Linked DNA regions of Pelodiscus sinensis. The protein of the gene in region 1 interacts with the protein of each later gene in a pairwise test. Links are inferred from orthologs where the notes say so. Each region holds a gene or a part of one and is shown in the gene's direction. Other genes may lie near its edges. The genes, in order: UBE2K, DTX3, RNF167 and RNF138.

Region 1 (7,590 bases):
GGACTGCAAGACTATTTATTATTTTTTAAGTTTTCTCTGTAACAAAGATGTAGAGCAGGTCTAAGCTACAAATTTTTGCCAGCCATATTTTTTGGGGTGTGATGTGAGGGAATGAGGGAATTAGCCAATCAGGGTTGGTCCTCTGCCACCAGCCTCCCAGGACACTGCACCTCCCTTTGGCTGGCTCTGCTCCAGCCTGCTGCTTGGGCTTGGCACTGGCCCACTTCTGCCAGCTGGTTAGAGTGCTCTGGGGATGGAGCTCCCTAGCTGCCATGGTCCTGCTTCTGTCCTGCCTAGCTGAGGCTTCCCAGGGATGGGGCTCCATGACTGCCCTGCTGCTGCAATGCCCGGCTGGGGTTCTACAACTGCCCCGCTGCTGTGCCGACCCAGGGCTTCCAGATAGAGGCAGCAAGGAGGGGAAGAAGATGGGGTACTTCAAAGCGGCAGTGCTGCTTGAAGCTTGGAGCCAGACCCCGGGCTCCATGTGGCGCTGCCCCAGGTGTCCCCAGGCCGTACGTAGCATTTCAAAGTGGCAGTGCTGTGTGGAGCCTGGGATCAGCTGGGGAGTTCCCAGCTGACTCCGGGCTCAGTGCGACACTGCCGCATTGAAATGCCGCGGGGAGCCTGATGTCAGGCTCCTTGCAGCATTTCATTTCAAAGCGGCAGCACCACATTGAGCCCAGGATCAACTGTGGACTCCCCTGCTGACCTTGGGCTCTGTGTGGCACTGCCACTTTGAAATGCCACATGGTGTTTCAAAGCAGCAGCGCTGCATGGAGGCTGGGGTCAGTGGGGGAGTCCCCCCCTTCTGACCGTAGGCTCCACGCAATGCTTTCACCTTTGAAGTGTAGCAACAGCCCTATGGCTGTTGCTACACTTCAAAGACGGAGGCATCCTATATCAACTAATCAAATAGTCAATGCAAAATGCCTGATAATTAACATCCTTATCATAAACTGTCTGAGTCAGTTCTAAAGAAACCATTCTCTGTGGCACCATTGAGACTATAGGTAATTATTCTCTAATTGTCAGGATACAACATTCACATTGTGCATCATCCAGGAATTGACATATCTGTCCTTGGCTTCTTATACTACCAGAAGAGCTGTGAATTTATTCATTTCTTGGGAGACTTTAATGCCCATGTGAACAACACTTCTAAGAGTGTGATTACACCTTAGCTGGGTTATCCTCCAAATGTATCAATTTATGTTGATATTATCACAACGGTGTGGCCTACTTTTCTTTCATCAATATGGCCACTGCCTCAGCTCTTGCTCCAGCCCCTTTGCTGGCACATTATCTGGCTACACCATAGTTCACCTTTTCTGAGGTCTAGTTCCAAAGTACTATTGTCCACTGGGCAGGTATGTTGAGCCTTCACTTGATCTTTCCAGAGTCTTGTCGTAGAACGAGTAAACAAAATAAAGGTTTCTTTGGGGATACCAGCTCCCTTCAAAAATATGGGCTAAGAGCTCCCAAAGTCCCTCTTTCTTAGGGTTATTTAGGCAAAACAGGCACGTTTTCAGGACATGGTTGTTTTTGCAAAGGGAACTACAGCTGTGGTCACCAACCAGTTGATCACGACCAGTCGATCGCAAGGTGTTCTGGACCCTCCATTTTCCCCCACCCCCAAGAAGCCCCACTACCTACCTCGAGCAACAATGGAGGTAGTGGCAGCTTCCCACGGGGAGGACAGAAGTCCTAAAGCTGCGCATCACTTCCGAGCGTTCCAGAAATGCGCTAGCTGCTTCCTTGCCCCAGCTCCCTGGTGCTCCAGAAACTTACTGGGTAAGTCCCCAGAGGTGTGTGCTGGGACTTCCCTTCTCTGCGGGAGGGGGAGTCAGGCCCGGAGGAGGCGCGTAACGGAGGCTTCCCTTCTCCGTGTGTGTGGGGGTGTGTGTGTCGGCCCTGAGGGGTCGCATACGTGGGTTTCCCTGCTCTGCGGGGGGGGGGGTGTCCGGCGGAGGCACTCGATGGGGCATCCTTCCTCCGCCGGGGGGGGGGGGGGAGAGTGTCGGCCCTAGAGGGAGCACGCAACGGAGGCTTCCCTCTGAGGCTGGTGTAGGGGACTCCCTGTCCCCACTGGCACCCTGCCCCTGAACCCAGTTCCCTCTCCCCTGCCCCCGAACCTTGTCTCCTGCCACAGAACCTTGTCCCTGCCCTACCGCCCCCGTTCCTTCTCCCCTGCCTCCAGCCACAGAACTCTGTCCCTCCTGCCCCCCTGCTGCAGAAACCTGTCCTGCCTCTGCAGAAACCTGCCCCCCTGCAGAAATCAGTCCCCACTGGCACCTTGCCCCCTACTGCAGAAACCTGTCCCCCATTGCAGAAACCTTCCCCCGCTGGCACTCTGCTCCCTGCTGCAGAAACCCTCTGCCCTGAGCCCCTCACATACCCCAACCCAAATTCCTGCACCCTCACATCCACAAGCCAGTGGCTTGCTTAGTACCCCAACTCTGCCCAGCCTAGACCCCCCACCCCAAGCCAGTGTCCCCTTCTCCACCTCCTCCTGCATCCAGATTTCCTCCCAGAGCTTGCACCTCTCACCCCTTCCCGCACCCAAATCCCTCATTTCCACCCCAAAGCCTATACATCCTGTCTCAACCCGGTGGGGGTACAGCTGGACTGCAGGAGTTTTTCAGGATTCTGGAGATATCCCAGAAACACTCTTCTGCATCCAGGGATGCGTTTGTTAAGAACGTAAGAACAGCCGTACTGGGTCAGACCAAAGGTCCATCTAGCCCAGTATCCTATCTGCCGACTGTGGCCAGCACCAGGTGTCCCAGAGAGAGTGGACCGAAGACAAATCAAGCAATTTGTCTCCTGCCATCCCTCTCCAGCCTCTTACAAACAGAGGCCAAGGACACCATTTTATCCCCTGGCTAATAGCCTTTTATGGACCTAACCTCCATGAATTATCTAACTTCTCTTTAAACTCTATTATAGTCCTAGCCTTCACAGCCTCCTCTGGCAAGGAGTTCCACAGGTTGACTACACACTGTGTGAAGAAGAACTTTCTTTTATTATTTTAAACCTGCTCCCCATTAATTTCATTTGGTGTCCTCTAGTTCTTCTATTTAGGGAACTAATAAATAACTTTTCTTTATCGGCCCTCTCCACACCACTCATGATTTTATATACCTCTATCATATCCCCCCTCGGTCTCCTCTTTTCTAAACTGAAAAGTCCCAGTCTCTTTAACCTCTCCTCATATGGGACCCGTTCCAAACCCCTAATCATTTTAGTTGCCCTTTTCTGAACCCTTTCCAAGGCCAAAATATCTTTTTTGAGGTGAGGAGATCACATCTGTACACAGTATTCAAGATGTGGGCGTACCATAGTTTTATACAGGGGCAGTAAGATATTCTGGGTCTTATTTTCTAACCCTTTCCTAATAATTCCTAGAATCCTATTTGCCTTTCTGACTGCCGCTGCACACTGTGTAGAAATTTTCAGAGAACTGTCCACGATAACTCCAATATCTCTTTCCTGATTTGTCGTAGCCAAATTAGCCCCCATCATACTGTACATATAGTTGGGGTTATTTTTCCCGATGTGCATTACTTTACACTTATCCACATTAAATTTCATTTGCCGTTTTGTTGCCCAATCACTCAGTTTGGTGAGATCTTCTTGGAGTCCCTCACAGTCTGCTTCTGTCTTGACTATCCTAAACAGTTTGGTATGATCTGTAAACTTTACCACCTCACTGCTTTTACCCCTTTCTCCAGATCATTTATGAATTAGTTGAAAAGGATTGGTCCCAGGACTGATCGTTGGGGACACCACTAGTTACCCCTCTCCATCCTGAAAATTTATCATTTATTCCTACCCTTTGTTTCCTGTCTTTTAACCAGTTCTCAATCCAAGAAAGGACCTTCCCTCTTATCCCATGGCCATGTAATTTACACAAGAGCCTTTGGTGAGGGACCTTGTCAAAGGCTTTCTGAAAATCTAAGTATATATCTACTGGATCCCCCTTGTCCGCATGTTTGTTAACCCCTTCAAAGAACTCTAATAGATTAGTAAAACAGGATTTCCCTTTACAGAAAATATGTTGACTTTTGTCCAACAAATTATGTTCTTCTACATGCTTCACAAATTTATTCTTTACTATTGTTTCGACTAATTTCTTCTGCTTTTTTAGTGGAAGAGCACACATGATCTTTTGGTCACCCCTATATTCCTCTTTCCATGAGGAATAAAGGGCCTTTCAAAAGAAAGGGTTTTTCTGACATTTGGTCCAGTCTAGACAGGGCAAATGTTGGAAAACCCTCTTCCTACAGAAGAATTAAAACAAAACAAACAAACTAGCAGTATAAAGATTGGGGATAGCAAGGGATGGAGAGGAGGAGAATAGAGAGGGCGGGGCTTTAAGGAAGGGGCGGGGCGGTAGCTCTTGGCTTGGTGTGTAAAAAGGCTGGAGACTACTGAACTACAGGCTTCCCCCGCTCCCTGGAAAGGCCCACACATCAGTCCTACTCCTTCCAGCGAGCGGCCACCAGGGGTCAGGCATGTCCGCGAGCTCTGGTTGGAAGGAGCCCGTTAGCAGCCCGGCTCCCTGGCGCTCGCGCGCGCTGTTCGGAGGCTGAGGCGCTGAATGGCCCTTCCGCTTTCCTCGCTGCTGCAGCCTCTCGAGTTCTGCCGCCCCAACTCCAGCCGCCAGGGGAGAGCCCAGAGCCCGCCCGGCCCCGCTCCGCCGGGCTCTGAGGGAGGCGCGTTTCACCCGGCGCTTGTTAACCCGTCGCTTGCTGAGGCGAGCGCTGAGCGACACGTGCGTGTAACAACACGCCGACCGTGCGGATGACACAGCTGCTTCATCACAACCCAGCGGCCCTAGCTCTGCCCGGCTGGCGGGTGAGGGGTGTCACCGCAGGGACCTCGCGCTGTGCGTGTGCAGGAAAGCGGCTCCTCCCGTGACAGGCCGGGTGGCGGGTGTCGCTTACGGAGCGGCGGCGCAGCAGGGCGTTACCCGTCCCGCCGAGCCAGTGGGACAGTCCCGCGCAGCCCCTTCCCCCCAGCGCGGACCCGCCAGCTCAGGGGCCGCTCTGCTCCCTGCATCGGCTGCCCACACACACACCGTGCTGGCCCCGCCTGAGAGGCGCCGGGGGCCGCACCGCGCATGCTCGACGCGGGCGCCATTTTGGTGGGGCCGGGAATTATCCAGCGGGAGCGGCGGAGCTCGCTGGGCCCGGCTCGGAGGCAGCGGCGTGTGGCTGCCGGCTGCAGAGATGGCCAACATCGCGGTGCAGAGGATCAAGCGGGAGTTCAAGGAGGTGCTGAAGAGCGAGGAGGTCAGAGACTCCCCCCGGCCCTGGCGGTGTGCGGGGCGCCCGACAGTCCCTCCTTCTCCTCCCGCGGCTGGGGGAGGGTCTGTCCCAGCCTCTCGGCTGAGGGGGAGGGTAACGGCGGCTCCTGAGGATGAGGGACCCAGCAGCGGGGACGGGGAGCCTGGGCCCGCTCCGGCAGCGGATGATTCTCGGCGCGGGGGCAGGCCTGCAAGGGGTAGGAAGTGTGGCCGGGCAGCGAGCGAGATGCCTGGACAAGGCCGGGAAACCCCCGGGAAAAGCGCCGCCTCCACCACCCAGTCTGGTTTGGTCGGCCCAAAAAGAAGGCTCAGGGGAGCCTAATAACGGGGCGGGCCGCGCGCGTGTGTGGGGAGGTGTCGTCTCCGGGGTCCCCTGCCCACGGATACAGCGGGAGATTCCTCTATTTTACGGCTGGGGCACTGGGGAGAGGCTTTCCCATGCGACCTAAATGGAGATGGGGCAAAGACAGGATGGGTAAGAACACACGTCCCATTTCATCCAGCTCCCTCGTTAGCCTGTGGCTTATACTGCAGAGTGATACATTGTGTGTGTGGTTTTTTTTTAAATAAAAGCCCATTTAACTAGATTTCCTTAATCCAAGGCTTCCTTTTACCCCCAACATAGGTTATGTCACCTTGGTGTGCATATCTTTAACCCTCTCTCCACCTGACATCCCGGTGCCCTATTAATCATTCTTGATACATTCCCTGTAAGGGATGTACAGTAATTAAGGAAAGGAGGAAGTGATAAAGAACTTTAAGTGTATTTCCAGGGACTATAGAATAGCATTTACAGTGATTGTGTCAGAGTTATTTTCGCTGTCTGTAAATCTGTGTTGGTAAATGTCAGCGAGATAGGTTTTGATGTTTGTGTCATCACCATCATACTCATGAGGATGATGAGGCATGTTGTATGCTTGTGAAATATTAATGTGCAGTTTGACTCTGAAAACCGATGATTTTAGACACTGTACCAGTCAGCTAGATTCATAGTCAGAAAACCAAGATGCTACTAACTTCCTGAGGATTTGTGTTGCTTACAGAAAACATGTTTAGAATTGGTCTAGTTGATGTCCTTCTGAATATAATGTGCTAACGGCATTATTGTTACACAGCTCAAAATAAACTATTCTCCACAAAATCTTAGAGCTTAATTTCTACAGCTATTATGCATGTGATGCTCAAGTTGATTTCAATGTGAGTTCCAGTGTGTAATGATTACAGAACCCAAATACTAAATTAGAACAGATCCTGAATGGTCAGCTGTGTATTTATATGCTAAAATTAGAATATCCCAAAGTGTTTACTTTCTCTGAACAATACATCTTAAAGTTGACTGCTTAGACCTTTATATAAGAGAGCACTCCAAATTTCCCCCTTGTGTTATTTAGAAAGAGAAACCTTGCCATATGCATCAGTGATATAAACATGGTTAGATCTTTTAATTTTCTTAAGACAAGTTTGGGACTCAGGGAGCAATTTTGTTTTAAATTCCTGTTTAATATATGTGCCGGAGATTTTGATTACATTGAAGATAAAAAAGAAATTACTTTGTTTGGGTGAACTGAATTTGTGAATTTTGAGACAACCCTTACTCTTGGCAGGATTCCTGCATCTTGTAAATTAAATATTAAAGAGCATTATCCCCCCATCCCCTCCCAGGATTCAGCTATTTCTATCAGTACATATATAATTACTGTTTATATTACAGGCTTTCATGGGTATTCGGAATACATACTTCTTTGATGTAATTGTGGATGTTTATTACAATGACACACTGATTCTAGATACATGTATTGGGAATACCTTGACTTGATTTTTTTCAAAGTCCGATTAAACTTTTTTCCAGCGGTAGTGTGAAAACATTCAGTATGAGATGTACAGAGGTATGACTAGATATTTTTGTACTTTGGCAATCTGAATTCACAACTTTATCAAGAAAAATTGATTGTCACAAATTATATAGCTAAAATGTGTTTTAATTTAAAATTTGTCTTGCATCAAGGAAAAGTTGCTGATCTTATCTACTCTTAAACATTCTTGGAGTGATGTCTCAAGCCATAGCTGAACATAAAAGCTGGCAATCTGTTTCCCTGCAAATGCCACCAAATGGCATTTGCTACCATATTGCATTTTGGAGAGAGAACGTACAGAGTTTGCCATTTACATTCTTCCAAAAGTGCATTCTGGACTTAGCTAAGTGGGAACCAGCCAAATGCAGTTTTAGAAGAGGATGGAAGAGGGGCAGATCAACAACTTCTGCAATTCAGAGATTTTTACAG
Region 2 (7,454 bases), on another chromosome or scaffold:
TCAGCTGAGCTCGGAGCCCGGGGCCCAGGTGGGCTCGGTTGCAAACCAAGTGCCTTAACTTATTCTGCCCTGCTGCCTGCAGCGCTGGGGGGGGGGAGGGTGCTGCCGGCGGGGGGGCCTTTGAGCTCTGCCCATCTGAGGCAGAGGGGCCCCCTGGGCCCTGCAATATGCAATACGAGATTTGACCCTTCCGTGCCTTAGGGGGGGCAGAAAGGTTCCTCCCCCATGAGAGTAACCCCACCCCCTTACCCGAACCTGGGGATAGCCACGGCTCCCCTCTCCCATCCAGTCCCCCCATGTGCATCTGCCCTGCCCCCCCGCAGGGCGGTGGTTCTCTGGGCCTGTCCCACGGTGTAATGTATTCCTAGGGGAAATCTCCCGGCTGGGGGGGCGGGGGAGTTAACACTAACTTGCACTGGGCTCCCCGCCCCTCTTCTCACACTACATCCCTGGGGCCCACGGCTGGGCCAGGCTTTGGACCCCAGCTCGGCTGCTTTGGCCAGGACCTGCCCCGTGTTCCAGCAGCCCCCTCCCTCCTGCTCCGATGACACCGGCAGCCGCGAAGTGCAGCTCTGCCTCTCCGCCAGCAGGAGGCGCTCGCTCGGGCAGCGTGTGACCAGCTGGCGCAGGTCCGGGCCCGTGCTGGACAGTGGCTGTGCCTGCCCAGGCTTCCCACGGTCACGTGGAGGGGGAGGGCCTGCTGCTGGCATTTCTCCCACGCCCCGGCCTGGAACCCTTTATCCCAGGGGGGTCCCAGCAGGTGCTCTGAGATTCTTGCCCCACAGGCAGCACTGGCCAGGCCCCAGACAGCAGCTGCTCCTCTCCCCGGCGGGGGGAGGCTGGTGACTGCAGCCCCAGATGCGGATCTTCGCCATGGTGCGCCGGCAGCCTGCAGGGGCGGGGCCCGCTCCTGACACCTGCCCCCGGCCCGCGCTGCGGACACGCCTGCCTTGCACCTTCTGTTCTTGTACACGCGGGTGTGGTCCTGTCCCTGGGTCTGGCTAGAAATAAATTATTGACTGACAGTTGCCTGGCTCCCTGCTCCACCTGGCCCATGACAGGGGGAGGGGTGGAAATGGGGGGTGGGGCAGTGCCCAGCCCTTGCTGGGTGGGGTGGGGGAGGGAGACAGACTGAGGCTTGGGGGCAGCAACAGGGACAGGTGGTTCCTTCCTGACCCCTGCAGCCTGAGCATGAGCTGGGGCTACTGCCACTTGGGGGGAGGGGGAGACTCGGGCACCCCAGTGTCTACACTGGCTCCTCCAGCTGCTTCTGCTGCTAGGGGTGGGAGATAATGTGGGGGGGGGGAGCCCCCTTGCCCTGGGTTGCTGCCTTTTGAAATACCCACCTTTGGTGCCACCTCTTCCTGCACATCCACACCCCAGCATGGTGCTGTTAGGGACTGAGGTGCTGCCTCCTCTGAGCACTGGGGGCATTTCTCCCCCCACCCCCTAGCCACCTGGCCAAGCAGCTCCCAGGGCCTGGCATCCTCTGTAGCCCCTTGGAAGGGCTGGGGTAGGACAGGCCGGAACCCATGACAGCTGAGCTCTGTTCCTGCCTCCCCCCAGCCTGCTGGGTCCTGGGGCAACGCCTGTCCCTGCCTCAGTTTCCCCCTCTGCTGTGGAGCCTGCCTGTAACTTGGGTCGGGGCGTGGCTCCAGCTCCACCTGGGCAGTGCCTGCTGCTATCGGCCCCATCGCCTGTGGGGTGGGACCCCTGTATGTGCCCCACAGCCCGGGCCTGGAGGGGTCTGCGCTGGCACTGAGCCAGCGCACTGGCCTAGCCCAGCTGTGGCATCAGCCCAGCTGCAAGCAAAGCCACCGGCCCCGGCTGCTGGGCTGAGCTCTGGCAGCCGGGGCCACCGTCCCGCTGGGCTGTGCTTCCTGCCCCCCTTCTGTGCCACGGCCCAGCCCCCAGGAGTCTGGGGGCCTGTGATGGGGGTGACTTTCCCTGGTCCCCTGAGGGGCCCAAAGGGGTTGGGTCCCCCCCATGGATTGTGCAGAGACTGATGGACCGAGGGGCACAAATGCAGGGGGGGCTCCAAGCACTGGTGCCCCCCACGTGCTGGCACCCCTGCCCCCCAGGTTCTGTGGGGCTTTGGGCAGGATGGGGGGGTACCCAGTGGGGACTCCAGGGGGAGGCGTGGGCACTGGCACAAAGCCCCCCCCCGGCCGCCTCCTGCCCCTCCCCCCGCTAGACCCATCCCCCCCTCCGGTTTCCATAGCGCCGCCGCAGCCCCCTCGCTCGCAGCGCCCGCCCCGAGAAGAGGAGCCGGGAGCGGGTGGGTCCCTCGCCCGCGCCGGGCCCGCCATGGCCTCGACCATCGCTCCCGCCCCGCGGCGCCCGGGGGCTGCGCGGCCAGGTACGGGGCGGCCGGGGGGCGAGATCGGCGGGGCAGGAGGGCTCAGAAGGGGGCTGCAGGGGCGGGGGGGGCCGCAGAAATGGGGCGGGGACTCAGAGATGGGGCGCAGGGCGGGGGGGGGGCTGCGTGGCCCCGGCTCTGGCTGCACCGGGGGGCGCAGCCGGATGCACAAAAGCAGCTTCCCCGGCGCTGCGGGCCATTGTGCGGGGGCGGGCGGGGGGGGGGGGGGACGAAACAGACCTGGCCAAGGGAGGGGGCGCGCAGCATCCTGCCTGTGGCTGCAGATTGACGAGGGTCGAGCCCGGCGGTGGGGGAGGGGGCCACGGCCTCCCACCCGTGTCCGCGACCCACCCGAGTGTGAGCGGGGGGGAGGGTGAGTCCTGCCGGATGCGCAGAGCTGGGGGGAGGAAGGGCAGGTGGGGGAGGGGAGACTGGGGGTTCTGAGATGGGGGAGGAGAGAAGGGGGCGATGGGGGTCTGAGCTGAGGGGGAGGGAAGGGGGCGATGGGGGTCTGAGAGGAGGGGGGAGAGGAGGGGCGATGGGGGGGTTCTGAGCTGAGGGGGAAGAAGGGAAGGAGGTGATGAGAGCTCTGAGCTGAGGGGGGAGAGGAGGGGCGATGGGGGCTCAGTTGAGGGGGGAAGGAAGGGGGTATTGGGGCTCTGAGCTGAGGGGGGAGAGGAGGGGCGATGGGGGCTCTCAGTTGAGGGGGGAAGGAAGGGGGTATTGGGGCTCTGAGCTGAGGGGGGAGAGGAGGGGCGATGGGGGCTCAGTTGAGGGGGGAAGGAAGGGGGTATTGGGGCTCTGAGCTGAGGGGGGAGAGGAGGGGCGATGGGGGCTCTCAGTTGAGGGAGGAAGGAAGGGGGTATTGGGGCTCTGAGCTGAGGGGGGAGAGGAGGGGCGATGGGGGCTCAGTTGAGGGGGGAAGGAAGGGGGTATTGGGGCTCTGAGCTGGGGGGGAGAGGAGGGGCGATGGGGGCTCTCAGTTGAGGGAGGAAGGAAGGGGGTATTGGGGCTCTGAGCTGAGGGGGGAGAGGAGGGGCGATGGGGGCTCAGTTGAGGGGGGAAGGAAGGGGGTATTGGGGCTCTGAGCTGGGGGGGAGAGGAGGGGCGATGGGGGCTCTCAGTTGAGGGGGGAAGGAAGGGGGTATTGGGGCTCTGAGCTGGGGGGGAGAGGAGGGGTGATGGGGGCGCTCAGTTGGGGGAAGGAAGGGGGTATTGGGGCTCTGAGCTGAGGGGGGAGAGGAGGGGTGATGGGGGCTCTCAGTTGAGGGGGGAAGGAAGGGGGTATTGGGGCTCTGAGCTGGGGGGGAGAGGAGGGGTGATGGGGGCGCTCAGTTGAGGGGGGAAGGAAGGGGGTATTGGGGCTCTGAGCTGGGGGGGAGAGGAGGGGCGATGGGGGCTCTCAGTTGAGGGGGGAAGGAAGGGGGTATTGGGGCTCTGAGCTGAGGGGGGAGAGGAGGGGTGATGGGGGCTCTCAGTTGAGGGGGGAAGGAAGGGGGTATTGGGGCTCTGAGCTGGGGGGGAGAGGAGGGATGATGGGGGCTCTCAGTTGAGGGGGGAAGGAAGGGGGTATTGGGGCTCTGAGCTGGGGGGGAGAGGAGGGGTGATGGGGGCGCTCAGTTGGGGGAAGGAAGGGGGTATTGGGGCTCTGAGCTGAGGGGGGAGAGGAGGGGTGATGGGGGCTCTCAGTTGAGGGGGGAAGGAAGGGGGTATTGGGGCTCTGAGCTGAGGGGGGAGGGGGTTCTGAAGGGTCCCTGTGCTCTGTCAGGTTTTGGCCTGTGTGGGAGACTCAGAACAGCTCATACCCCCCCCCCCCCCACACCCCATCCCACCCGCTCCTTTGTGCTGTGCCCGAGATGCCCTGGCTGGGCTGTTTTCCCCTCCACCCCTTTCCCCCATGGGCCTGGCACCCAGCTAGGCCCAACCCCGCCATGCCAGGCCTGGTGCCCTGATGGGGCCCAATCCCTGTTCCTGCATCTCCCTTGCTGGCCTGATGCCCTGACTGGTCCGACCCCTCTGTGAACTAGGAGGAAGCCCATTGCGGGGGGGGGGGGGGGGGGAGGCGTTGGGCTGCAGCAGGGTCTCATCCCTCCCTCCCCCCACCCTCACCAGCAACAGTGATGGGGCCTGGGGCCTGCCTTGAAGGGAGACCGTAACTGGGGTGCTGGGGGCCAGCCCTGACGCACCTTTCTGGAGAGGGATGCTGGGGGGAGAGGGGGATTGGCTACAGGCCAGACTTGGGTCGGACCCCTGGGGGCAGGACAGAGGTACCAGCTGTCTATGTGGCCAGGCTGGCTGGACCCCCAATCTCCCCCAGGCTGGCAGGGCCCAGCTGGGATCGGGAGCTCCGGCCCGAGGCTGGGAACGCCAAGGTCTTTGCCAGCAAACCTCACACCACCCATGGGGAGGGGCACCCTGCCTCTTGCCCCCCACACGCACACTGCAGAGGGGCCTCAAGGGCTGAGCCCCTGAACCTGGCACCTCTCACCCCAACGCAGGCAGCTGGCCAAGCTGGTTTGCTACCCGGGAGCCCCACACAAGAGCGACGGGTGGGAGGTGAGGGTCCCTTCCTGCAGCAGCCTGGCTGGTTACTGGATGGCTTGTTATTGTAGGGTCTCCTGGGGGCAGTGCCCTGTGTTTATTGCAATGCAGCACTGGGGCGGGGCGGGGCGGGGGGGACGACACCCTGTTGCCTTTGAACGCAGCGAATGGGATGGTGCACACTGGCTGTGCTGTGACTGCCAATGGCATCTGGGGGGCGCCCCCCATCTTCCCCACTGGCACCCTGGCTAGGGAGCAGCACTGAGGCCGGGCCCGTGGGATGGGTCTGGAGTGGAGGCAGATACCAGCTCCCGCACCCACCTTGCTCCCTGCCACACACCACCTCCACGTGACACCTCCCTGACCCCGAGCCCCCCACTCCAGGTCCTCTGCAGTGTCTGGGTGGGCTTGGAGGGCCCCCCAGCCCAGCACAGACCTTGCTGGTGGAGGCAGGACCCCAGGACACAGGGATCTGGCTGCAGGCTGCACCCAGGGGCCCCTCAGAGCCAAGAGTTACCAGGCACCAAGCCACCCAGCTGGGGGGGCCTGGGGTTCAGCCTGAGGGGGCATCGCCTGCTGTCGAGTTAGGAGCCCTGGGGCGGACATGGCATTGTCGTGCGGGGTGGGGGTGGGGCAGCACTGAGCTTGGAGGTCTCTGCCCCGATGCAAAGCCAGGCTCTGGCTGCAGGCTCCGGGACTGAGCAGTGACAGACCCCTCCAACCCCCGCTGGGACACGACCTCGCAGGGCAGCACCCACAACTCATGGGGCTCCTGGGTGCTAGAGACGCCAGGGCTCGGTCGGGGCCTACTGGAACCAGCTAGAGCCAGCCGGTCTGTTTGGAGGCAGCCCCCGGTGGGACTCAGCACTTCCTCCTCCAGATGCTGGTCTCTTCCAGCAGACTGGGAGCAAAACCACCATCCCCTGCACCCTCTGCACCAATTGAACATGCCCCCAGGGCCCAGCGAGCCAGAGCCCTCTCGGTTCTGTATGCCAGCTGCCTCCCCAAGTGCCCCCTCGCATCCTCCAGGGATGACCCTTGCCTGGCAGAGCAGCTTTTAGAGGATTCTTAGCTCACAGATCTGCGGAACTCACCGCCACAGGATATTACTGAGGCCGAGAACAGGTATGGAGACGAGAAACTGGCTGGGTGGGCCCGTGCCCAGTGAGGGTGTGCACAGCTTCACAGGCAGCTCAACACAACATGGGCATGAACTGCCCCATCCCGGGGCACCGACCGAACCCTGAGTCCTCTGGGGTGAGGAGAAATCTTCCTCCATCAGCACCCCCCAGGGAGGAACTGGGCTGGATCCCTCGGGTGGTGGTGGGAAGTCTGTGCCCTTCAAAGGAAACCAATGGGGGGGTTGTTCACACCCCTCCCGTCCGCAGCCTCCCTGTGGAGCTGGAAGTCCTGGGTTTTCCAGGGTGTGTTGCCCGCAGGCCGAGGGCCTCTGGCTGCCCAGCAGCTGCCAAAGGGTGGGTTTCAGTCCGTGGCTGCCAGGCCCGGGGAGCGACTATGGGGCGTACAGGGGGGTCAAAAGGAAAATTGGGATTTGTCTGAATCGGAGCCAAACCCAACGCTGACATTTCCCCGACCCAGAAACACTGAGGTCCGGCCAGCCCCGCCCCCCGCCTACAGCGCCTTCCGCCGTGGGTGCTGGGCTCTGACCTTAGCGAGGGATCCGGCCGACTGGGAGCAGCCCCTTGGGTAAGATGGGCGCAAGGTGCCCCCCAGGCTGGGCCTGAGACCCCTCGGGGCCCTTCTGCCCCCCCCCCCTACACGCTGCCCGAGCAGAGGGGCGGGTGGGAGGCAGACCCGGCTGGCTGCCACGTCCCGCAAGCCCCCACCCCACGGGCACGGCCACCCCCCTCGCCCTCCACACAAAGGGGCTGTGTTTGCAGCACATGGTGCTGGGGGGCATGGACTCTGAGTGGGGGGGGGGCAGACACAGACTGGACCTGCCCTGCACCCACCTGGCCAGCTACTGGCAGACCCCCGGGAAGGGGCCTGGACAAGGGGAGCCTTGAACCGCTGGGGGGGGGTCACAGAAGGAGGGGGGCAATACTTCCGGAGGGGGGGGCTTGCTGAGCTGGGGGGGGCGGGTAAGCGCTGAAGGTTGGAAGGTGGGGGGAGGGGACTGAGCTGGGAGGAAAGTGGGGGCACTGAGCTAGCGGGGGGGGGGGCATGGGGAGAGTCCTGAAGCTTGGGGGGCCGCTGAGCGAGGGGGAGCCCTGAACTTTGGGGGGGGGGGGGTTGGGCTAGCGAGGGCGCGCTGACGCCAGCCGGGCCGATCAGCTGTCGCCGCGCACGGGGAGGGGGCACCCCGGAGCCGCGACTCCGGCAGGCGGGGGGGGGGGGGGGAGGATCGGCGGGGGCGGGGCAGCCGCTGCAGCGCTTAACCCCCCCCCCCCCCCCGGTCTTTGTAGTTCCTGGTTCGCGGCTCCGCTGAACTCCGCGCTCCGGGTGTTTCCTGCCGGCAGGTCCATGGGCTCGCCAGGTAAGTGCGGCCCGGCCCCCCCGCTGCACGGCCCCCCCGGAACCCCCCCCCCGCTGC
Region 3 (7,759 bases), on another chromosome or scaffold:
CGCACCCAGCGCTAGGGGGCTGGGGCGGAGCAAGGAAGGGCTGCGCACGCACCCAACGCTCCGGTGCGGGGCGGGGCCGGAGAGACTGCGACGCGCCGGATAGCACGAAGCGACCGAGGTGCGCGCGCAGTCTGGCCTGCTCCTGCGGGGCGGGGCGGGGCGAGGCGAGGCGAGGCGGGATGGGTGTTGAGCGAGGGTGCGCGCGGTGGGCTAGCCGATTTTGGCGGGAAGGGCGGTTGGCACGGCCGTTGGGACGCACAGCACCCTGCAACGGGGGAGGGGCCAGCAGGGCTGGAGACCGGTGCCCTTCGCCTGCGCTAGTATCCGGGGTCTGGTTCCTACCACCCCCGTCAAAGACACTACTCCGGCATTGGTACTCAGTTCCCCCTCGTGATACTTAGCACCCCCAGTGACAGCCCACCCCGTGACACTCCCCCCCCCGAAATAATACTCCGTGGAAATACCCCACTGGTGTCCCCTCTGAAATAGCACTGCACAGAAATACCCCTGGCCAGGCCTGGGCAGAGGAGGCTGCAGTGGTCGGCCGGTGTCTGCTCCCTGGAGCTGAGGTGCTTACTGTCCCCCTGGGGTCATTCTGGGGGATAACTGTGCCATGTGCTTTCTGCCCTCTGGGGTCATTCAGGAACATTACTGTCCCTGCTATCACAGCCCCCCCCCTTTCCATTTGATGAGAAACAATCACAGGTCACACACATCCCATTGTCCTGGCACAATCAAACCCTGACCTTGTTTTAAGTTCTGATAAGAGGAAGCTGCCTACCAAATGTGGTGGTCCTAGCTCATACCATTAAGAAAGAGTTCTTGAACAGACTCACAGACAGATGTACAGACAAACGCACATTTCTAAAATATATAGTAAGAAGAAGTAGGGATGTTAGAGTGTAATCGATTAACCGATAAGCAAAAGCTTATCGGTTAATGTTATAAACTATATGCATTTCTCCCCACCTCCTCCGCTAGTAAATTTTTTAGCAGACCAGCAGCCCGGCTCAGTCCTGGCTTGCGACAGGACCTATCCCTGCTGTGGCTCTGCATTTAAAGTGTATTATGAGCCAGGCAGGCAGGCATCCTGGCTCAGACCTGGCTCACACTGAGTCCAGGAGCTCAGACCCACCCTAGACCTTTATCAGAGGCAACAGCAGAGAGTGACAGGCAGCCAGTCCGTGAAGGGAGATGTTTTTTTAACTGGCTCCCCTCACAGACCAGCTCCAGCTGCTACAGAGGCAGCAGCATGGAGTGGAAGTGGCATCCTTGGGAGTGAGGTGCACTGGCTGCTGGCCCCGCTCCCCCAGGAACTATAGACTAGTCGACTAACCAATAAGAATTCATGAGGTTACTCAACTATTCAATTAACCGATATTTAACATCCCTAAGAAGAAGATATATGTCCCACATCCCAAGTTGGTTCAGCATCTGCACTACTGAGCACATTCTCAACTCCAAATCAGCAAGCAAGCTGGGCAGATGCTGGATCAGCAAGATAGCACACCTCCTGGAGCAGTCTCAGTGCCCCCCCACAAATTGTGCCAGGCACCTTACATTCCCTCTGACTGCTGTCGCTTGAATGCTGCTACCCCATCTGAGAGCAAGTGCAAACAGCAGCTGAAATTAGAGAAATTGATGTTTGGGGGGTGAATAGTGTGAAAGAAGATAAACGGTGGTTACACTGAGTCTCAGCCCCCCTCCCCCATTCTACTCAGTGCAGTCACTAAAGGCTTGCAAGCAAGCTCTGTTTAAAGTGGGAAATGGGAGTCCCAACAGGGTCCAGCCCCCAGGTTTTGTACTGCTTCCTCCACCTCCCTAGGGCAGAGTGTCTCGCTGTAGGGGAGTCCTGAATGGGGTCAAGATGATCTCCCCCCCCCCCCAACAGCAAAGCTTTCAGGGACAAGGCACAGAGCCCTGTGCTCTCAGGATGCCTAGGGCTCCAAGAGGTGGGACTGCTCCATGAGGTGTGCTGTCTTACTGATCCAGCACCTGCCCAGCTTGTTTGTTGATTTGGAGTTGAGAATGCATTCAGTAGAGCAGATGCTGAACTAATTGGGGATGTGAGACATATATCTTCTTCCTACTATATACTTTAGAAATGTACTCCTATCTGTTTGTTTAAGAACTCCTTAACAGTAAGAGCGAGGACCACCAAATTTGGTATGCAGCCTCCTCTCATCACTGCCAAATGACAGGCCTTGGACATGAATTACAGCAGGGCTCAAACTATGGTCCTGCAGAGTTTGGGACCTGGAGCACTTGCTAACCTGAGTCGAACAGATTTGCCTGTGGACAGGATGGGGGCTTGGGCTCAAACCAGAGTGGAAGCTCAGCTTAGATGCACAGTCCTGCTCATTGCTTCCATGTGGCTTCGCAGCACAGAGACAAGAGAGCCTCCCGGAGGGAGGAAAGGTGCTTTCCTGGTGCTGAGGCATGAATTGCTGCAAGTGCATCTAGCACTAGATGGCACCATGGCCCATGCAAATAAAAAGACCCAGCTGTCTGGGAAGGTGCCCAGTAACCCCATGTTTGTGGTGTTTCTGGTGCCTCAGGTCTCATGCTGCAGCCTACAGTTTCCCTCTCCTAAGGACTCCTGGGCTTTATGCCCATCTCTGGGAGAGTAGTGGGGTCTATTGGAGCAGGGGAAGGAACTGGGAACCAGCACCTGTAGGTGGCAATCTTGGCAAAGTTAGGCCAGATACAAGCTCCTAGAGTGTTTTGTTGCACCGATTTCTCTCCCTTTCTGTGAGCTAGTTGGGAGGGGGAATTTGACTGGGGCAGAAAGTGACACCATATCTGGACTTGGGCAAAGCCATGGGGCAGGTGGGGGGAAAATGAACTCCTACACTCTGAGGCCAGCCCGGTAACCCCCCAACCCCGGCTTCCCTAAAAAGCACTGCCTAGTGGTTTTCCCAGACTCTGTTTCCTTTCTCCATTGGCTGAGCTGAGAGAGACTGTCCTCTCTCTTTCTGCTCCATGGGGCAGACAGGGGCTGGGATCTAGAGAAACAGCAGAGCACCTGGCAGCAAGACGGGTGGCACGGCTGTAAGCTGAAGCAGGGCCAGTGTGGTTACAGATACGGAGCAGAGACCACCTCCAGCAGCACAGCAACAGAGGGCATTGTGGTGGGACTAGAGCTCCTCCCCTCACTGCAGGCGGGAACCCCCTAGAAATTAATCCCTTCTTCCATCTCCAAAAAGCACTCTGGTGGTTTTTGCTTAGCGCCTCCAGACCTGACCCTCTTTAGACTAATTATGTCACTTTTATTATAGACTAGGGCTACGTCTAGACTGGCATGATTTTCCGCAAATGCTTTTAACGGAAAAGTTTTCCATTAAAAACATTTGCGGAAAAGAGCGTCTAGATTGGCACAGACGCTTTTCTGCAAAAGCACTTTTTGCAGAAAAGCGTTCGTGCCAATCTAGATGCGCTTTTCCGCAAAAAAGCCCCGATCGCCATTTTTGCGAGCAGGGCTTTTTTGCGCAAAACAAATCTGAGCTGTCTACACTGGCCCTTTTGCGCAAAAGTTTTGCGCAGAAGGACTTTTGCCCAAATGGGAGCAGCATAGTATTTCCGCAAGAAGCACTGATTTCTTACATGATAGAAATGTAGCCGTGTTAGTCTGGTGTAGCTGAAACAAAATACAGGACAATGTAGCACTTTAAAGACTAACAAGATGGTTTATTAGATGATGAGCTTTCGTGGGCCAGACCCACTTCCTCATATCAAATAGTGGAAGAAAATTTGGCTGTGACTATTTTCCTTCCACTATTTGATCTAAGGAAGTGGGTCTGGCCCACGAAAGCTCATCATCTAATAAACCATCTTGTTAGTCTTTAAAGTGCTACATAGTCCTGTATTTTGATTTCTTACATGAGCTTGTCAGTGTTCTTGCGGAAATTCAAGCGGCCAGTGTAGACAGCTGGCAAGCAGCTGCTTTTGCGGAAAAACTTGCCAGTCTAGACACAGCCTAGGTGTCTTACCATAGCAGCCAGGAGCTCCTCCACCTTGGACCCATGACAGTAGGGTCTGTACAAACACACTCGCCACAAAGAGCCCTTTATCAACATAGCAGACAAGAACCAACTTGAGAGTGGCAGGGAAACAATGCGACAAAACTGGACAACTACACAATTGACCCACTGTGTTCAATTTTTTTGCAGGTGTCTGTGGTATGTATATTCTTCATGCCCCAGTCAGTGAGCTTGCCACACTTATTGCAAACACCAGGGTGAGGGCAGACTGGGTGACAGCAAATGACCTGTACAACAATTGGTAACACCACCGTGCAGCTGCATGAAAATCCCTGCAGACGTTCCTATGACCAGTTACCAACACATCAGGTCCCGCTTGGAGATCAGCAGGGATATGGTGAAGCTGGCTTCCAATACAGTCACACGTGCCATGAACTGGTGTGTCTCAGCCTATCCAGTCTCTGATGCACTGCTCAGCTCAAAGGAAGCCCAGACCACAAATGCAGAGCCGTGTGGCGGTGGTGGCTGGTCTAGAAGGGGCTGCAGATCAGAAGTGAGGACCACCTGGCTCCCAGACCCTCTCTCTAACCCACCAGTCCCCGATCCCCTCCCAGAGCCTGGGAGAGAACGGTTCCCAGCCCCCCTGCTCTAGCCCACTAGCCTCACTCCCTCCCAGAAACGAGGAGAAGACCCAGGAGTCCTGGTTCCCAGTCCCCCCCCCCAAAGAGCTCAGGAGAGAACCCAGGCGCCCGGGTTGCTGTGGGGCGGGGTTGCTCCGCCTCCTCTCGCGAGAGCTCCCTGTTCCCGGGAAGAGGATTTGTAAACAGAAGGTGTTAGAGGGGAGACCCCCCCTTGTTGCAGCTAGCGGGGGGCCGTTGCTCCAGACCCCGCCCTGCTCCAGGGAGAGAACCCTGCTGCTGCAGGAGCCAGCACAGGTCAGTGTGGGGCTGCCCCTACAGGCACCAGCTAAACAAGAGAGGGCCTCTGGGGGAGGGGGGTGCTGCTGCGGTTTGGGGTCAGACAGAGGAGACCATACTCAGCACAGTCAGGAGAGGGAGTAATGCTGGGGCGCCTCTCAGCGCCGGGCGAGGACCCGCTGCGTAACTGGCTGCCCCGCCCCAGACGTGGCTGCATCTCCTTGCCGGGGGAGGGGTCCGTGTGTAACCGGTCGCCCTGGCCCCGAGGTGGCTGCATCACAGGGCTGGGTTGGTGAGCTAGTGCCACCCCCCGTGCAGTGTAGATGTGCCCTGTGCCCCCTTCAAAGTGGGCACTGCTGAGGCAGCAGCCCAAGACTCCCCTCGCACCCCTCCTCTCCCTCCCCCCCCCCCCCGGGGAAAGGGAGTGCAGTTTGCATGACCCCTGACTACGGAAAGAAGACTGGCAGAAATGGTTAGTGGGCACAGCCTAAGTCTGTGACTCAGGACACCTATATTCCATTCTCTCCTCTGCCACTGACCTGTTAGGCAGTTCCTGGCATCTCCGTGCCTCAGTTTTCCTTCCCACTCATTGCCTGTCTCACTGGTTATATTGTAAGCTTTCAAAGCAGGGACAGCCCCATGTGTGTGTGGTGCCCTACTACAGGGGGCCACCAGTATCAATGTAACCCCTAATCTTAGAGGTGGATTGAGCTGTTTCAAAGGCTACTGCCCTGTGGGGCCAGGGCTAAGTGCTCCAAACTGCCAGGGCTTAAATCTCCCCCTGCCCTGAAGTCCTGGCCCTGCCCACTACTCTGTTAGCCTGGTGCTGGCTCTTTGCTCCTGCTCAGCCCTTTCCTGATCTTGGCCATGCCACCTGGAACTTTGCTCCGTGGTCCTCTGCCAATGGCATAAAGAGACCAGCCCTGCATCCCTCCGGCAGCCATGTCACTGCACCTTCTACCAGGGTGGAGCCAAGCACCTCCCAGCCTAGACTGGGAAACAGAGCATCAGCCTCTGATCCTCACCCAGACTTGTTTGGTCAGGTCAGGGTTCCCTGCTAGGGATGTTAATGTTCATTTTAGTAATCGCGTCGTCACAAAAACGTTATCATTACACGATTACTAAAATATTCTCCAGGGGCAGGGCTGGCAGCCAGTGCACTCCTTGCCCCACTCTTGGGGAGCCCCCTGCCACCCCACATTGCTGCCTGCCCACCAGCAAGAGGCAGCAAGGGGGTGTGTGCATATAGTCATTTGGATTAACCAGTAAGCCCAGGCATATTGGTTAATCATTTAAATGACTATATGATAACATCCCTACTCCTTGCAGGTCCCTCTGACTGAGATCTGGGCCCTTGGAGGGCCTGGCCAAGCGCTGACCCCACCTCACAGCTGAGATCTGGGCCCATCATGCTTTTTTCAAAGGGAGTTTTTGCTAGTGGTTGGAGGGTGTTAGGAGCCAGGATTCCTGGGTTCTCTGCCCAATGCTGGGAGGGGAGTGGGGGCTGGCAGCTCAGCAGGTGGAGCTGGGAGCCAGGACTCCTAGGTTCTTGCTCCAGTTCTGGGAGGGGAATGGGGACTGGTGGGTTAAAGTAGGGGGCCTGGAAGCCAGAATTCCTGGGTTCTCTCCCTGCCTCAGGGCGGGGAGTGGGGTTAAATCAATAAGGAACCAGAATGGAGTGGTGCCCCAGCCAAATTGTGTTTGCCACTTGTGCCTTCAGCTGTGTGCCCCACGTGTAAATCCAGCATGGGTTACACCTGAGTTAATCAGCTTCTAGAATGTCAGCCCCTGCCCTGGGCCCTGCAGCATATACACAGCCATCTCTGTCCCCAGCCATGGCATTGCCAGACAGCTGCCCTTGGCCACCAGCTTCCCCTTCTAATCTCACTCCCATTGGGTACAGCTGCCCTCGGAAATGGGGAAAGAACCACGGGGTTCCTGCCCCTCACTTCCTCCCTGCAGCCCTCCTGCCAGCCTTCTCTTCCCCTTAGCCAGAGGGTGGTAGCTGGGTGGGAGTGTCACCCTGGATCTTGCTCAGGATCTGCTGCTGCTGGGAGAAGCCAGGGATGATAAATTGACATGAGAGGATGGGAATTGTTAAAGTTTGTAGCCAGGATCCACTTGGGCTCTGAAGAACTCAGAAGTCCTGGTATGGTCTGTGGTGAAGCTGCACAGTGCTGTCTGTAAATCAGGGGCTGGCTACCCAGAGGGTATAATGCATCTGAGGCCCCTGATTGGTCCCGCCTGGGATCTGGCCCCAGTATCTCCCATGGAGCGATAGCCCATTGGTTCTGGCTGAGCTCTGGGCCCCACTTACCTCAGTGTCCTTGCCCATGGTTACACAGTCTCGTGGGTAATGAATAGGCCCTTTGTTCTATCCACGAGCCCCAGGGCCATCTCCCTGTGCAAACAGGCTGGGATGCAATGGGGGGCAGATCTGAGACTCCCAACAAGGCTTGCTGTGCACTCGCCACCCTGAGCATCTATGCAGGGTCCTTCCTTCCCTCCTCACTGCCAGAAGATTGGGCCAATTTTGACTCTTAGGCATGGGCCTCAGGGTGACCCTGCTGAAGTATTGTTTATGAGGAAGCATTGCAGTGCCCGCAGAGTCCAGCTCCTGAGGGCTACGTCTACACTGGTCCCTTCTCCGGAAGAGGCATGCTAATTTCTAACTTTGGAATAGGGAAATCCGCGGGGGATTTAAATATCCCCCGCGGGATTTAAATAAACATGGCTGCCGCTTTTTTTCCGGCTTGGGGAAAAGCCGGAAAAGAGCGTCTAGACTGGCGCGATCCTCCGGAATAAAGCCCTATTCTGGAGGATCTCTTATTCCTACTTGCAAGTAGGAATAAAAGATCCTCT
Region 4 (7,382 bases), on another chromosome or scaffold:
CCATAATACCAGATACTTCTAGAAACAGCACAGACGTGTCCTTACCAACATGACCCTGGTCACGCTAGATGGGAAATACCAGTCTAAAGAGTGCACAACCTCCACCCCATTGGTGTAATCTCACACACAGGGCTGGAGCTGCCTGCCCTTCGGAATAGTACCATCCTGTCGGATACCAGACCCAGCCACACCTGATTATATCTCAGTGCTAGACAAGAGACAAACTACCCAAAAAGAGGACTATGTGGTTTTCCTAGTTCCAGGCAGAAGGGACACAAGGACAGGACAATGGGTTCACGGCTGGAATTCTCTTTGCTCTGAACAGCTATGCCTGAATTCTGAGTAAAGCCACCTCCCCCACTACATCCTAGGCCAGGTGTCTCTCATGCCTCCCAATGCTTTCATTGTCTCAGACTCTCGATATTTTGCTTTGTTTCCTACTGCAATTATACTATAGTTTTGTACAGTGATTGATTGAATTGGGAGGCTACATCTATGCTTGGCTGCCCATCCACCCTCTGTATTGCCAGGTTACACTATCCCATCAACCTTAAATGCCGTGCCCTTGCTCCAATGCTTATTCCAACTTCCTCCCTCTTCGTCTACTTTAGTGCATACAAAAATACACACCTAACTCTACTTCCTCTGTGGGAGACTCCACTTACCTTCTCTTCACCTCTAATACAGGGGAATCACCATTTATTTTCTGTTATTGTCCTCACATAACAGCAATGCTTCTCTGCCTTCCTGCCCCAAGACTTCTCAGTCTGTGATCCAGTGCCAGCAATTTTCTGACTTCTTTCCTTCCCTAGAAACTTCTCCTCTGTTAAGGTCAAAGCAGCACCATACTCCCTCCTGCTGCTGCTCTAGGACACATCTCTCTGATCTAGGCCTTTCCCCAAAGGCAGGGCAGGTCTGTGTCCCTAGCCCCAAGACTACTGCACAGAGCTCTGCCCATAAGCCCAGCCCTGAAAATCACTGCTCCACAGGAACTTCTCATATCGTTGTGACAACTTCTGCAGGCACCAACATCCCCTGATTCATAATCAGTTTGTGGCAACTGGAAATAATATTATAACCTGGCCTTCTTGCTCACCACTATCCCAGTGCTGAGGGAGCTGCCATCAATCCCTGTATCTCCCACCCTAGCACCATCCTCTGCATCTATATTCCCCTGCAACTCCTCACTCTTCCCATCCACCTTTCACAGTGCCACTGCCACTCCCTGCAGTCCCTGTGTCCGTCTACCACTTGAACCAGAGTGGCAGCCATTTTGCCTGGTTAAAATCTCACTGGGAATAGTGGAAGTGGAAGCTACCTTTAAGGCTAGACCCAGTTCTGCAAGCAGTTAGCATGTAAGGAAATAGCCATCTTTCTGGCTTCACCCCCTATTGACAGTAAAAGGATATGGTGGCCATTTGGAATAAGGAAAAAATTGTGAGTTGGCTCACTTTTCATTGTTTGCCTGTAGGGTGACCAGATGTCCCAATTTTATAGAGACAGTCCCAATATTTGTCATATTTAGGTGCCAATTATTCACCCACCCACTGTCCTGATTTTCCATACTTGCAGTCTGGTCACTCCATTTGCACGAGACATGTAAAACGACACCCCACAATTGCTAGTCACAATATAATCATGGCCATTGGCCATGTTATTCTCCCATATCACTGCCTGCATAGTATAGTCAAGTGCATACACAGCCCCTCAGTCAACTCACGTCCATCTGGCAACAGGGACTGTCACACTCATCCAAGACAACTTGCCACATTTCCCCAAAACACACTGTAACTGGAAAGCAAGGCTGTTGGGAATGATGGGTGGACACTGAAAAAGGCAGTTCTGTGGCCACTTCTGCCAGGAGAAGGAAGCAGAAAATGGGCGGGATCACCTGTTCAGTTTGTTCCCTCTGAAACACCTGGCATTGGCCACTGTCAGAAGACAGGAAACTGGGCTAGACTGACCATTGGTGTGACCCAGCAAGGCCAAAATTATATTATTGCAAACCATGCTGGCCAACAATGCTAACATTTTCCACCTGCAGACACTTCCATTTTCCTCCTAAGAAATCTGCTCAGCATAGGTCAGCAGTTTTAATTCCGTATTAGATACTCTTACAACTACATTTCTGTACATGGAATATTGCCTGTTCCCTCTCATTACAGCTCAATGGCTCTTCTATACTGGGAATGAGGGATGTAATAGTATAGTCGATTAACCAATTAACCGATAAGATTTTGCTTCTAGGTTAATGCTATAGACTTATGTTATGCTTAAACAAAGTATGTGAGATCTTTTATGGGGGAAAGGCAGTACGCCACATTTAATGAGAATACAACTTGCATATGCTTTTCAATCATTCACACACAAACATAATACACAAACACAGTCCCGCCACACGCTATCCTAGTTACCAGTCCAGAGTCTGTATCAATCTACTGGCCAGCTAGATCAAACACAGAGGAGGAGCAGGGCCTTTGTCGGTTGATCAATCCAATGCTCTTCTGGAGTTGGTGGCAAGACGAACCCAAAGTTCCATAGCAAAGCACCCTGCTTTTATAACCCTTTTCTCTGTTGAAGCTTATGGATTTCGCTGTGTCATAAAACTTTCACTTGACACTTACACCAGGCCTGCACAACATACAGGCTTGAGGGTTGCATGTGGCCCGCAGGGGCTCACTGTGCAGCCCATGCTGACTACAGGCGGCGTGGCCCCATCCAATCCCCTGGCCGGGCGGAGGAGCGCAGCGCCACCGGGGAGGGGGGAAGTGCGGCGATTCTCGCTGCAAGGCTGCATACATGCAGCTCTGGAGCGAAGAGGTGGGGTGCGAGCCAGAGGGTGGGATGCCGGCATGACGTGGCATCATGACGTCACAGCCAGCGACTGCCAGATTCAAAAAGGCTCCAGCAGCCCCACAAACTGGAAGGTAGAAGCCAGAGGGGGAGGGGAAGGGGAAGGAGAAGGGGCTTGTGCTGTGGGAAGGGGGACAGGTCAGGAGAAAGGGGAAGGCAGCAAGGGGCAGGGTGCAGGAGAGACAAATGCCAGGGGGCCAAGTGGAGAGACATGTGGGTTTTTTAGCCCGCGTGTTCAGTATTTTTTGGGAGAGCTGTTTTCTTTGGAGTAATATGGCCCTCGCCACTTTCCAAGTTGTACAGGCCTGGCTTACACGCATTTTCTTCTTTCCCTCCCCCGCCAGTAAATTTTTTAGCAGGCTGGCCAGCAGCCTGGCTCAGTCCTGGCTTACGAAGGGTCCGAGACCTACCCTTGCTGCGGCTCTGCATTTTAATTGTATTAGGAGCTGGGTGGGCAGGCAGCCTGGCTCATGCTGGGTCCAGGACCTATCCTTGTTTCAGCTCTGCACTTCAAATGTATTAAGAGCCAGCCAGGCAAGCAGACAGCCTGGTCTAGGAGCTCAGACCGCCTGCCCCCAGTCAGGGACTGCTACCACCCCATCTCTGCCTCTTTCTCAGAAGCAGCAGCACAGGGTGACAGACGCTGGTCTGTGGAGGGAGCTGGTTTTTAAACTGGCAGACCAGCTCCCACCTGGCACCCCACACTGCTGCCTCTGATACAGTGGCTGCTGGCCCTGCCCCTGGGGACTATAGACTAGTCCAGTGGTGCGCAACCTCTGGGTTGCGACCCCCTTGGGGGTTGTGGTCCTTTGATCTGGCTGCCCAGGGGCTGGGCCCGGCCACGCGTGGTGCTTTGATGCGGCTGGCCGGGAGCTGGGCCCAGCTGTTGGCGGCCGTGCGGCGTGGCACTTTGATCTGGCTGTTGGCGGCCCCCGTAGTGTGGGGGTCACAAATGAAAAAAAGTTGCACGCCACTGGCCTAGTCGACTAACAGATACAATTTCATGAGGCTACTCCACTATTCAAGTCAGGGATATTTAACATCCCTACTGGGAATGAGCTTTCATTTTAGCCATCAGTGTAGCTGTCCCAGCGCCAACCCCTAATACTCAGGATTGTCTCTGTTAGTATTTTCTCGAGTTAGCTTAGGGGAAATATTCCTGGAGCAAAATCTTTGGAGAGGGCCCCCCTGAGCCTTTCCAAAAGCGTTAAGTCCCGCCAGTCAATTACCCACCCAACACCGATACTCCCCTGGGGGGGGGGTTGCACCAATGCCGCTACAATAGGAGGCTGCAATCGGGGTTTAACTCCCCATCGAAGAAGTACAAACGCGGCCCCCTCTGCATTAGCCAAGGTCTCCTTCCGAGGGGCAGTGGACAAGCTCCGTCGGGCAAGACAATGGCTCGGGAGAAGCCACAGCCGGTCATTAAGAGGGCGGGCCCCACCGCTTCCAGGCTGGGCTGGCCCCCGGGCGAAGGCGAGTCCACTCCCAGGGGCCGGGCCGGCCAGCGGCGGGGCACACGGAAGACTGAGCGGGCCGGGCGCCCAAGGCCCCGGAACTGCCGGCGCCGCGTGGGCCCCTCCTTGCCCGACGCAAAGGGGAAGCGGCGGCGGAGGGGCGGCTGCAGCGAAGCGGCGGCGCAGGGCCCGGGCGGGGGCGGAAAGGGGGCCGCGCCGCGGGGGCCGCGCTTGTTGTTTCATAACAATCCCGCCGGGCCCTGCAGGAGGTAATCGCCATGGAAACCCGGCCCGCCCCGGGACAGCTGCGGCGGCGGCCCCGGCTGCAGCATGGAGGCCGCCGGGGGCTGCGGCTGAGGGACCCGGCCACACCGCAGCGGCGGCCCCGCTCAGGGGCTCCCGCCAGGTACCGCGGGCCGCGCTCTCGGCCCCGGCGGTGGGGGAGGGCGCCCGGCGCTTGCTACGCGGCCCGGTCTGACGAGCAACAGGGACAGTGGGGCCTGTGCCAGGGAAAGCCCGAGCCCCTCCCGCAGTCCCAGCCCGGCCGCAGCCTCCTTCCCTGCCGCGGTGCCAGGGCCCTCGCTGCCACAGGGACCGGCGCCTCCCCCGGCCGCGCCTGCCCCTGCGCCCGCTTCGCCCCACAGTGGCCGGGAGCAGGGAGGGCGGGCGGGCTGCAGGGGGCAAAGGGGTGCTCCCCCGCCAGCCCTTCTTCATCCCTCCACGCGGGCAACCCGCTTCAGCCTCATGTCGCTTGAAGTGAGCGAGGGAGTGATCGTCCTCCCCCTTATTCCCACAGAGCGGTCAAGACTCACTGCCATGGCCGAGGAACCTGCCACTGTTTGCTTCAATGAAGAGGATTTTTATTGTCCAGTGTGCCAGGAGGTGTTCAAAACGCCTGTGAGGACAGTTACCTGCCAACACGTGTAGGTATCTGCTGCCCCTGGCCTTCCTGAATGGGCAGTGCTTATTGGGTAGTGGTTAACCATTACCTGGGTCCACCTCGTCATCTCCAGCCTGATCCTGGCCTGCATATTTATTCCTGCCTCTGGAAATTTCCACTACATGCATCTGACGAAGTGGGTCCTTGCCCACGAAAGCTTATGCTCCTACACTTCAGTTAGTCTATAAGGTGCCACAGGACTCCTCGTCGCTTTTGCAGATTCAGACTAACACGGCTACCCCTCTGATACATTACCTGGGAGCAGCCCTGTGACCTGGCATGGGGGGATTGCTCTAGCCCTAGGGGCCAGAAATGGCAGCAGCAGGAGATGCTGGCTCCCAGCCCATAAACCCCCTGTCTCCTCCACTGCTGCTTCTGACCCCAAGCGAAGCAGCCAGGCTGGAGCAGCCCCTGCCCCTGGTGTGGAGGCTGCTCCAGCCAACCATTTAGTTAACATTTAACTGGTTAATCAAACAGGCTTTTACATCCCTTACCCTAATCTGCGGAACTTTCTGCTAGTTCAAAGCATGTCTAATATTTTTATTAGAAATAATAATATAGCTACTTAACCATCTTTGAAGCTAACACAGAAAATATTGACCCATCTAGCTTTTATTTTACTAATGCGTGCTTGTGTTAACTTTGAAATTAGGTTCTGCAGGAAATGTTTCCTGACAGCAATACGAGAAAGTGGAACGCATTGTCCTCTGTGCCGGGGAACTGTGACTAAAAAAGAAAGATCATGTCCCAGAAGAGCCCTGGATGTTGAAAACAACATGAAGAAGCTTTCTGGAGGTTGTAGATGCTGTGAAAAGCAGGTGGAGTAAAGACAAAAGTTACTTATTTGTTACAAGTGAATAAGCTTTCCTTACTTGGGACCTGATCCTTCATGCTGCTATATGTCATTAACGTCCAGTAATTTACAGGGACTAGTACCTTGTAGCATCAAGTCTCAAGTGAGACAGGTGTGCACACACGTGCATCTAAGAATTTGTCCCTAGCTATCAAACAAATTTTGAAATCGGAATAAAGTGGCTGCTGAAATAAAGTTGCATTTTAAGAAAGTTTTAATTTTTTTGCAAAGTGCCAAATTGATGGGCCTCTCCATAAATACAAATAATTGAGAGAAATGAATAAAAAGAACTCTAAAAGTGGACAAAAGAACATGGACGAGAAATGGAGAACAGCTAGAAAATATATCCAAGACCTTATAATAATGTGCTATATTTTTTAAAATGCTCAAATTTACAGTAGAAGAGCACCAAAAAATACAAATAGCAATAAGCACAACCAGTAAACGCTACCATATTATTTAATCTCTCTGGCTTTCACTTTAGTAAAGAGATTGCTAATGTTCAAAACACTATGGGTGGAATCCAGGTCCTCTTGAGGTTAATAGGAATCTTGGCTTAAATGGAGGCAGGATTTCATCCAATAGGTTTTGTTTATATCATACTACCCTTACTCACTCTTGTGTCCGAGGACTGTGTGTGATCCATCATTAATAGTGTTGAGTATGAGGCTTTGTTGTTCATGATCTCTGTTAAAATAAAATAAGACAAGGGAATCTTTTAAACATTGTGGTTTATAAGCTATAAAACCAAATGCTATTTACACTGAGTTGCAACCTGGTAGCTGGAAATAACAAAATCACTTGCATATGTAATTGAGCATACTAGCTGTGGTATGAACCTTTGGACATTTTTCTAATCTCCCTTTAGCTGTCCTGCTCTCACTTGCTTCTATTAAGCCAGTGGTCCCCAACCTTTCGGGCATGTGCTACACGCCTGCGGGCAGCACTGCCCATGCGCCACGCACTCGGGACCAGCACCGCCCATGTGCCATGTGCCCACAGGTGGGGCTGCCCATGCGCCTGGGGCCGGACCGCACACGCATCACGTGCCGGGGGCGGGGCCGGCCCAGATCATTCGGTGGGTGCACATAAATGCCCCGGCGGGCACCATGGCGCCCGTGGGCATCGCGTTGGGGGCCATTGTATTAAGCTCTTTGTCATGCTCAAGGGATCCAGTGCTCCTGCTTGACAATAGGATTCCTTAAAAATGTTAGTTTGAGATGTAACTTACTGCATAAGTGGCAAGAGGGCTTACATCATGAAGTATTATATTATTGCT

Evidence for each region.
Region 2: the proteins of UBE2K (region 1) and DTX3 interact in binary tests that used the Homo sapiens proteins (3 or more experiments, as listed by UniProt). The link is inferred for Pelodiscus sinensis from reciprocal best matches to the Homo sapiens genes UBE2K and DTX3.
Region 3: the proteins of UBE2K (region 1) and RNF167 interact in binary tests that used the Homo sapiens proteins (3 or more experiments, as listed by UniProt). The link is inferred for Pelodiscus sinensis from reciprocal best matches to the Homo sapiens genes UBE2K and RNF167.
Region 4: the proteins of UBE2K (region 1) and RNF138 interact in binary tests that used the Homo sapiens proteins (3 or more experiments, as listed by UniProt). The link is inferred for Pelodiscus sinensis from reciprocal best matches to the Homo sapiens genes UBE2K and RNF138.

Annotation. Positions count from the first base shown.
Region 1 is NC_134715.1:92,844,503-92,852,092, reverse strand, and holds the start of UBE2K (ubiquitin-conjugating enzyme E2 K), read left to right. Parts: upstream 1-4,574; 5' UTR 4,575-5,122; coding exon 5,123-5,294; intron 5,295-5,457; exon of another isoform or gene 5,458-5,472; coding exon of another isoform or gene 5,473-5,505; intron 5,506-7,590. UniProt on the Homo sapiens protein: Accepts ubiquitin from the E1 complex and catalyzes its covalent attachment to other proteins. In vitro, in the presence or in the absence of BRCA1-BARD1 E3 ubiquitin-protein ligase complex, catalyzes the synthesis of 'Lys-48'-linked polyubiquitin chains.
Region 2 is NC_134729.1:2,734,371-2,741,824, reverse strand, and holds the start of DTX3 (putative E3 ubiquitin-protein ligase DTX3), read left to right. Parts: upstream 1-4,448; 5' UTR 4,449-6,254; coding exon 6,255-6,607; intron 6,608-7,326; coding exon 7,327-7,397; intron 7,398-7,454. UniProt on the Homo sapiens protein: Regulator of Notch signaling, a signaling pathway involved in cell-cell communications that regulates a broad spectrum of cell-fate determinations.
Region 3 is NC_134734.1:8,450,808-8,458,566, forward strand, and holds the start of RNF167 (E3 ubiquitin-protein ligase RNF167), read left to right. Parts: upstream 1-4,755; 5' UTR 4,756-4,915; intron 4,916-7,759.
Region 4 is NC_134712.1:72,524,434-72,531,815, reverse strand, and holds the start of RNF138 (E3 ubiquitin-protein ligase RNF138), read left to right. Parts: upstream 1-4,379; 5' UTR 4,380-4,579; exon of another isoform or gene 4,580-4,716; intron 4,717-5,106; 5' UTR 5,107-5,126; coding exon 5,127-5,233; intron 5,234-5,902; coding exon 5,903-6,068; intron 6,069-7,382. UniProt on the Homo sapiens protein: E3 ubiquitin-protein ligase involved in DNA damage response by promoting DNA resection and homologous recombination.